Sus scrofa: one gene and its partner. The protein of the gene in region 1 interacts with the protein of each later gene in a biochemical or structural test. Links are inferred from orthologs where the notes say so. Each region holds a gene or a part of one and is shown on either strand. Other genes may lie near its edges. The genes, in order: ETS2 and ZMYND11.

Region 1 (4,420 bases):
GGAACCTTGGTAACAGAGAAGGGAGGCTGCTCCTCTCTCCCTTCACAGCACTGCAGTCCCTGGCCTTGCCTAAGCTGAGCTATTGTATTTTCTATCCACCCCTGGGCATCTAAATATTTCTCCAAGGAGTTCCCGTCGTGGCTCAGCAGTTAACGAACCTGACTGGCATCCATGAGGGCGCAGGTTCCATCCCTGACCTCGATCAGTGGGTTGAGGATCCGGCATTGCCCTGAGCTGTGGTGTAGGTCATAGACACGGCTCGGATCCAGTGTTGCTGTGGCCCTGGCATAGGCTGGCAGCTACAGCTCCGATTGGACCCCTAGCCTGGGAATCTCCATATGCCGCCGGTGCCGTGAAAAAGAGAGAAAAGACAAATAAATAAATAGATAAATAAATACTGAGAATGTGACCGGAATCTGAATAGGAAATGTGTGCATTTCTAGCCATGGACTCAAGTATCTCCTGCTAAAAATGGAAACTCTGGGGGGGAAGGGTGACGGTTTTGACCATAGTTGGAAGTCAGATAGCCTGGAGTTTCAACCCTGAATTTCCCACTCACACGTCCTATGACTCGGCAAGTTATTTACCCAAAGGGCCCATTCCCTCATGTTTAATGTGAGGACAATTATCCTGAGAATGAGCCCAGGGAAGCTCTTTCAAAGGCTGGTTCCTACTAAGACACCGCTCAACTCTAGGGGGCGCCACTTCCTCGGAGGCGGTAGGAACAGGGCTTCCCGGAGCAGAGGGGCGCTCTGTGACCCAGAAAAGGGCCCACCTTGTACGTCTATCATGTCTTTTAGTGTCTTTTCAGGACAGAAGAGTCAGAAGTCCACGAAGAGGTCCAAGAATTGGGCCAGAAATAGTCCCTTATGACCCAAGCCCTGTGGCCGCTCGGTGGCACCAGCACTGCTCCAGTCCTGCCAGGACAGGTTTTGGTGTTAAAGTCTCCGCACCAGCGGAAGAAACCAAAGAAAGACTCTCCTTCTGAGCTCCCGGGACACACACAGGGCTCGAGTCCTCGGGGTCCCCGGCCCACCACGGCCCCCCGAACCGCAGGCAAGGGACAGAGCCCAGTGACAGCGGGCGCCGAGCGAGGCCGGGCTTGGAAGGACTGGCTCCGCCCCCTGCTCTTCTCCTCCCCCCGCCTCCACTCCGCTCCCCTCCCCTCGGCTTCCCCCCTCCCCTGCTCCCGCCCTCTCGCGACTTTGCTCCCTTCTCCACCCCCACCCCTCCCCTCCCGATCTCCTCCCCTCTCCCCTCCCCTCTCGCCTTTCCCCTCCCCCGCCCCCCTCCTCCCCTCCCCGCGGTCGCCTCCCCTCCCTCCTCCGTCCTCCCCCGGCTCCTGAAGAGCGCGCAGCGAAGGGGACCGGCCAGTTACTTCCTCCAGCGGCGGCGCGGAGCGCGGTATCGCCCCAGCCCTGAGCTCCCGGAGCCCGCCGCCCGCCGCTCCCTGCCGGCTCAGGCCTGCCGAGCGCCCTCCCCGCGTCCCGGCCCCGCCGCCCGCGCCCTCCCCGGCGCGCACCGAGGAGTCCGGGCCCCGAGTCGCCGGCCGCCCTGCCCGAAGCGGCGCGGTAAGAGCAGGGTCGGGCCGGGTGGGCGGCCAGGGTCCGGCAGGTCCGGCGGGGAGCGCCCTCCGGGCCCCGGTTCCTCTGCCGAGGGATCCAGAAACGGCGTGGAGGACGTGGGTGGCGCGGAGAGCCGGATCCCAGGGCGCAGCCGGGGTCCCGGAGGGGTGGCGGCTATTCCTAGGATCCAGGGGTCGCGCTTCTGAGATCCGATCCGCTCAGCTCGTGGTATGGATGGCCCAGTGGCTTTGGGGGCGGCAAGTGGGGCGCGGAGTGGGCCCGGCGATGACGCGCGGAGCCGGCTGCGAACTTGGGCCGCGGTTCTGGGGTCGCCGAGCCGGCTGGGGCGGGCGGGGCGCGCCGACTTGTTTCACTTGCTTTTGTCTTAAAAGGAAACGCGGGCGTGGTGGGGGGCCCTTGCCAGTGGGCGCCTGGGAGACCTGATATCGCGAAGGGGCTGGGGGACGCCGGAGAGGGTGTCGGAGGGGCCCCGGCGCGCCCGGGTTTGTGGGTGACTTACTGGAGGGCGCCGGGCCCGGGCAGATCGGGGTCTAGGGGCGCATGAAACACCTTGGAAGCTACGGATCCCCGAAAACAGGCGGATCCCAACCCCCCGGTCACCTGCTCCGCCACGTCCAGGGCCCGGCCGGGGCGGCGGGCGAGGGAGGCGCCGGGAGGGTCCTGGCGCTCGAGCGAGACCCCCGTGGGCGCCCCAGGTCCTCTATATCTCGGGCCCTCGGTCCTGCTAGGCGAACCTGGGGAGCCAGTCGGAAGTGGGGATGTAGGTGCGCCAAGCTGCCTTTCCCGGTTCTTACAGCATTTTAGATGAAGAGGTAACAGCGATTGTGCGTGTGTGTTTTTTAAAGCACAAGAGATTTTTTTATATTATCCTGTATTCAATTATAGGGTATCCTAAAATAGTAGTTGACGTGCGACTTATTTAGAAAGTAAAGAAGTGAGCCAGTCCCCCCTTTGGATTGAGAGGTAATTTATTTTAATTTACCACTGAGAGATGATGTTTGTTCCGCACAGTGGAAGCGCCTGTGCGCCCTGTGCCTGCCCACACCACCGCCGATCAGAGAGAGAAATCTCCCAGTTAAGGTTTATTAAAATTCTGAATAATATCACAGTACAATAAATGTTAGCGCTCTGGGTCCTGCAGGAAAATAGCTGAACACTCATTTCGGGAATTAGTCATTCCTGACTCTATAAATTGATAACCTTCAAAGGAAAAAGCAAATCAATCTTCGAAAGTGCGTTTTGAGGTTTTCTTTTTCTTTTCTTTTCTCCTCAAATTTACCGAAATACAAACCCGTGTTCTAATCTCGCAGAAGGAATCACTTGTCCCCCGAGGGTACCGTTGGCCGGCAAGTTTTGCTTGTTTAAAAATGTTATCCTTCTCAGCCCTTTCGTGGCTGCCATTTCCCGTTTGTGTTGTTGTAGTTCAAAGGCAACAATCAGGAGGGCACCCCCCCCCCAAAAGACCTAAATGTGAAATTGACTTAGGATGTGGAGAAACTTGGCCTGTCTGCCACCTTGACTGGCCTCGTGGAGTCAAAGACGGGAACTTAAATTTGATTAGTTATGTGTCTGCCAGAAACCATTGGTAGCGCGCTTTGATTCTACATGGTTTTTACAAAACAAATTAAAAGCTGGACAACAAAAGAATTCTATTCTGTAGCTAGTAATTACAGCTCTCTGTGTGGGAGGGGTAGACTGCCTTTCCTCCTGGTGTTTGTACACAAAAACCAGGCGAGGCTTAGTCCATTGCCCTCCACGTCCATTCTCTGCGAAGCTGAAGTGTGGGATAAAACTGGACGAAGAAGATGGATAACTGTCCACATCCTTTCATTCGGCTCCTGTTTGAAGCTTGTGAATGTCATCAGCAGGTGACAGGACGTAGTCGACCCAGATAAATGGCAGAAAGTTCCATGAACCTTAAGGAGCATTTCAGGTAGTAAAGTCTCACGAGCAGGAACCTTGTCTAATGAGACTTGGGTGCCATCGCTGCTTTTTTTTTTTTTTGATGAGCTGGGAGAAGGGCCCCGGCCGCATCCCTCGGGTTAATTGGGCTCCTGGAGGAGCGAAGGAGGGAAGGCCATCACCGGCCTGGGACTGGGTCTGCGCAGTGCCCCTTCGATGCCCCTGCTGTCGCTGCGTCCTCCTGCGCCAGGCACCTGAGGTCTCTGGATCTTTGTTGCCTCGCGGTGAGAGGTTACATCTACCTCTCAGGGCTCAGGCCTTTCAGCCAGCTGGGCTGGTGGGATCGTCCAGCTCAGGCTGAGCCCTTAGCCAGGGCAGCGATCATCCGTAGTGAGTACTGATCTTAAGGGCCTGTGGAGGACACCGTCCGATCCATCAAGGGGAGATTCTAAGCAAACCTGATCCCTTTTGATCCAGGACCATCCCTCCTCCCAACCCCCACCCTCACCCCCCACTCTTATTTATTGTCTAAGCTTCCAGCCTCCACTGGCAACCACGAAAATTCCCCTGCGTTCTGAGGGCTGTAACAGCTGCCCCCAGCGCCTCGGGCCTCCCCGGTGGCTGTCACTGTGCTGTCCTCCTCCCATGGGGCTTGTCTAGCCAAGGGGTGTGTGTGTGTGTGTGTGTGTGTGTGTGTGTGTGTGTGTGTGTGTGTGTGTGTGTGTGTGTGTGTGTGTGTGTGCTGAGTTGTTGGGAGGTCTGGTTTAGCCATAATGTTGACCGTAAAGAGAAAACAAGAACGTACAAACTCGAATGAAGTAGTTATGGGAAAAGTATGCTCTTTGCCTCCGCCTGTCAGCTCTTCCATTGCACAATATTTTAATTACTCAAGGTTCTTAGAGCAGGTGGGAACCACCCAGTGGGGACCACAG
Region 2 (3,808 bases), on another chromosome or scaffold:
GTTTGGCTCTGGCTTACTGGAGGGTCAGCTAATAGTTCTCACATGTTTGTGTGCCTGGGTATCACTGGGGATTTTGTTTAAAAACGAGGATGTATAAGCTACATCAAAGCCTCCTTCCCCCAGGATTGTAACCTGGGGTCCAGGAAATGGCATTGCATTTTAACTCCACATCTGCACCACTGGTTCTTGGTCTTGGCCAGATATCACAGCCACCTGAGAAATTAACATACAAATGACCGAGTAGATGCAGGACACAGGGCTTTCCCCCAGAAATTCCAATTCAGATGCTCAGGAAATCTTTTTTACTTTGTGTTCAGATATTTTCATGCTGTGTATGTATAATCAATTTGCTTAAGCCATGGCTAAGATTTCTCATTTGCTTGAGAAATGTTTGCTCCTTCCTCCACATATTTAGCATATTGAGAGAAATCCTGTGTATAAAGTTCTTTGGGGAGTAAATAATAATAAAACTGGGTAGAGAATCATCATCCAGTGGCCTGACAAAGTTAAAGCGTCTATCAGATAGTGGCCCAGCCTACTCAGTCCTCTGCAGTGCAGCCTGCTTGCAGTCCAGTGTCTGCTGTGGTGTCTTCTTGCCTTTGACTAAGGAAATGGGAGCATTGGCCCTTGTTTGCTGGCCGTCTAGAAATGACATAAAAGGTAGAATCCCGTCTTTTTTCTTCATGTGAAGTTAAATTATCTGAGAGATAAATTAAGGAGTCTGACTAGCTTTTAGGCAAGACTAATAGCCATTGGAGTTGGTACTGAAGAGTTCCGTAGCACGTTTAAGAAGATATGTGGATGTGTCTGCTGCAGGTGCATAATTCCTAAGAGAGACAGGCTTCTAATAACCTTGTTAACAAAGAAGAATATTATATTGAAATTCACCATGTAATATTGCCATTTAAAATATCCCCTACAGGATTTCAGCCATCGATATTTTTTATAAAAATAAGTGATTCTACATTATATCATTATTATATCAACATTATTATTATAGTTATTATTTCTTTTCATCTGAAACTTGGTTGAAGTTTTAACGCATCAAGAAAAGAAAAAGCATAATTCTCTAACTTATTATGTCAAGTATAACATATTTTCTGGTTCTTACCTTGTTACATTAAATGCTGTTTTTTGCTGTGCAAATTTTGAAATGTTGGAAATGATGCATACTAAGAAAATCTTTGCACACTATAATCTCTTATATATAGACGTCTTTATATATGTATATAGATTTATAAATGATCAGATTTTACATCAACCTTTTTGTTTTCAACAGAGCATCAAGAAGAAAAACACAAACAAGCAGGAGATGAGCACATACCTGAGGTTCATCGTCTCCCGCATGAAGGAGCGGGTGCGTCCGGGGCTGGGATGGGGGTGGGGCTCTCAGAGTCTCCCCAGATGTGCTTCACTCTGGTTTAGTCTCTAAAAGTTAATGATTGACAAGTAACAAATATTTAAAGAGTAGTACGAAGGGTGGAAACCACTGCTGTCGTATTTTTTTAGATTTTTTGTTTTAGCTTTGTTTTGTTTGTTTTGTCTTTGTTTTTTTGTTTGTTTTGGTTTTAGATTTTTTGTTTTAGCTTTGTTTTTTGCCTTTTTTTTAGGGCCACACCTGCGGCATATGGAGGTTCCCAGGCTAGGGGTCCAATCGGAGCCAAAGCCGCTGGCCTACAGCATAGCCACAGCAGTGCCAGGTCCAAGCCTCATCTGCGACCTACACCACAGCCCACGGCAACGCCAGATAATCAACCCACTGAGCGAGGCCAGAGATTGAACCTGCGTCCTCACATAAACTCGTCAGATTTGTTTCCCCTGAGCCACGATGGAAACTCCCTGTTTTTGTTTTTGACACAGGCATTTCTTTAGCTGCATTAGATTAGAAACATTTACATTTAAAATTCCATTTATCAGAATGAACATTTTCATTGATAATTAGTTTTTTAAATGAAATTGAATTTTCCAAAGTAAATGTTCTTTCTATAAAAACCTGAAGAAATGCCACATTAAACTACGGCACATGTACATTTTTCATTCAGTTCTAAAGTATTTGTTCAGAAGTTTGTGTTTCGCCCGTCTCTCTAGCCATGTTTTAAACGGACATGTCTCACAACCTTTCAGGCAATCGACCTTAATAAGAAGGGGAAGGACAACAAGCACCCCATGTACCGGCGGCTGGTGCACTCGGCAGTGGACGTCCCTGCCATACAGGAGGTAAAGCGCCGCGGCAGCGCAGCCCTGGCTGTGCACCTGCGCCCTTGTGCGTGTACTGTGCTCCCTCCAGTGCTCACTAGGGGTCATCTTTTAAGAGGCCTGGAAAAGATTCCTGACGCTGTCTGGTCGGTGTAATTAACACCCGGGTGTGGTTTCCTAGTTTTAACCCCAGTGCTTAGGAGTCTCTGTCAAGGGAAGACTAGAGCATAGAACTGATCAAGAGTCTTGAGAAACAGTGACATGAACTTGAACAAAGATTTTAACTAGAAAGTGTGGTTCTTCTTAATTCAAGTTCTTAATTTCACCTACTCTAGCTGAGGCTTGCTAATGGGCTTGTTAATGTTTAATTACAAATTACAGTAAAATTCAGTGAACACTTTGACCTGCGTCCAGTTAGGTTTGTAGATGTGCTGATCTGTACCTTATGTCATTTTGAAGTTTTAAAATCATACCATTGTCCATAACAGGGAAACCACAGGAATAAATCATTTTGCTCATGTCTTAATCTGCTTAATTTCTGAGAAAGACTGAGGCAGATGATTTCAGTGAAAGGGATAAATTAAGGTTGTTCATACAAACAACTTTAATTTTCCCTTCTAACCCCAGATTGCGTAGCCTCTCTTCTGACTCTGAGGCTCTGAGAATGATGAAGAACTCAGCTGCCCTTGCTGCCCTCTCCCTGCATGCCCCCCACCGCCCGCATTCCCCGTCTGATCTTCTCAGGCCTGTGGAACCCAATGGCTGGGTCGATGGTGCCTTATTAGCAAGGGCAGGCTGTAAACAGAAATACCATAAAGGAAATGAAGAGGAAGACGTGATTTTTATGCTTTCAGGAGCTTGCCGTCCATACCAAAATATAGGCTGTGAGAGTCCTTGGGGAATTCTGGGTGCAGGTGTTCCCAGCTGGGTTTAGTCAGGTGGCCTGGAAGTGCTGGGCGGTGCTAGGGTTTGAACATCCCTGAGCTGGAGGTAATGAGAAGTTCAGAGTGGAGGTCAGGTGTCTATATTCACGAAAGAGCCCTGTGCCCCTTGATGCCGGACAAGAGCCAGCAATTGCCTCGGGGCATGGAGGACCGTCTAGGACTTTATTTTAAAATTATTTATACATCAACACCTCATCCCAATTCAGAGTTGTAACTGTGTCTTCTTCGTGGTCATGGTAAACTCTCTCAGAGGCTGACAGTTCTTTCTTTTTTCAATCCTTATTCTCCTGAGTTGTAAAATCGTAGGTAGATAGCTAGGGTCTCATCAGTCCCATTGACCAAAGCTTTCATTATTTATAGGACTTCGCAGCAGCTTTCATCATTGTTCATGCTACATTGTTCACGTGGGTAAATAAATATTGAAGGCAACAGTGGCTGCAGGATGTGGGATCTGCCACACCTCCCCACCCTGCAGTGGTAACGCATCAAGAAAAGAAAAAGCATCAAGAAAAGAAAAAGCATAATTCTCTAACTTATTATGTCAAGTATAACATATTTTCAACAGAGTATCAGTGGTAACTGCAGGGAGAGCTGTGGGCTTCCTTCACCCACACTCTATCAGTACGGTGGGACACGGGAATTGCCGTAACGTCGTTTGGAAGGTTTTG

What was found.
Region 2: the proteins of ETS2 (region 1) and ZMYND11 form a complex in vitro, tested with the Homo sapiens proteins (2 studies listed by BioGRID). The link is inferred for Sus scrofa from reciprocal best matches to the Homo sapiens genes ETS2 and ZMYND11.

Annotation. Positions count from the first base shown.
Region 1 is NC_010455.5:202,462,998-202,467,417, forward strand, and holds the start of ETS2 (protein C-ets-2), read left to right. Parts: upstream 1-1,343; 5' UTR 1,344-1,571; intron 1,572-1,774; exon of another isoform or gene 1,775-1,793; intron 1,794-4,420. UniProt on the Homo sapiens protein: Transcription factor activating transcription. Binds specifically the DNA GGAA/T core motif (Ets-binding site or EBS) in gene promoters and stimulates transcription.
Region 2 is NC_010452.4:69,183,751-69,187,558, reverse strand, and holds part of ZMYND11 (zinc finger MYND domain-containing protein 11), read left to right. Parts: intron 1-1,279; coding exon 1,280-1,357; intron 1,358-2,124; coding exon 2,125-2,217; intron 2,218-3,808. UniProt on the Homo sapiens protein: Chromatin reader that specifically recognizes and binds histone H3.3 trimethylated at 'Lys-36' (H3.3K36me3) and regulates RNA polymerase II elongation. Does not bind other histone H3 subtypes (H3.1 or H3.2).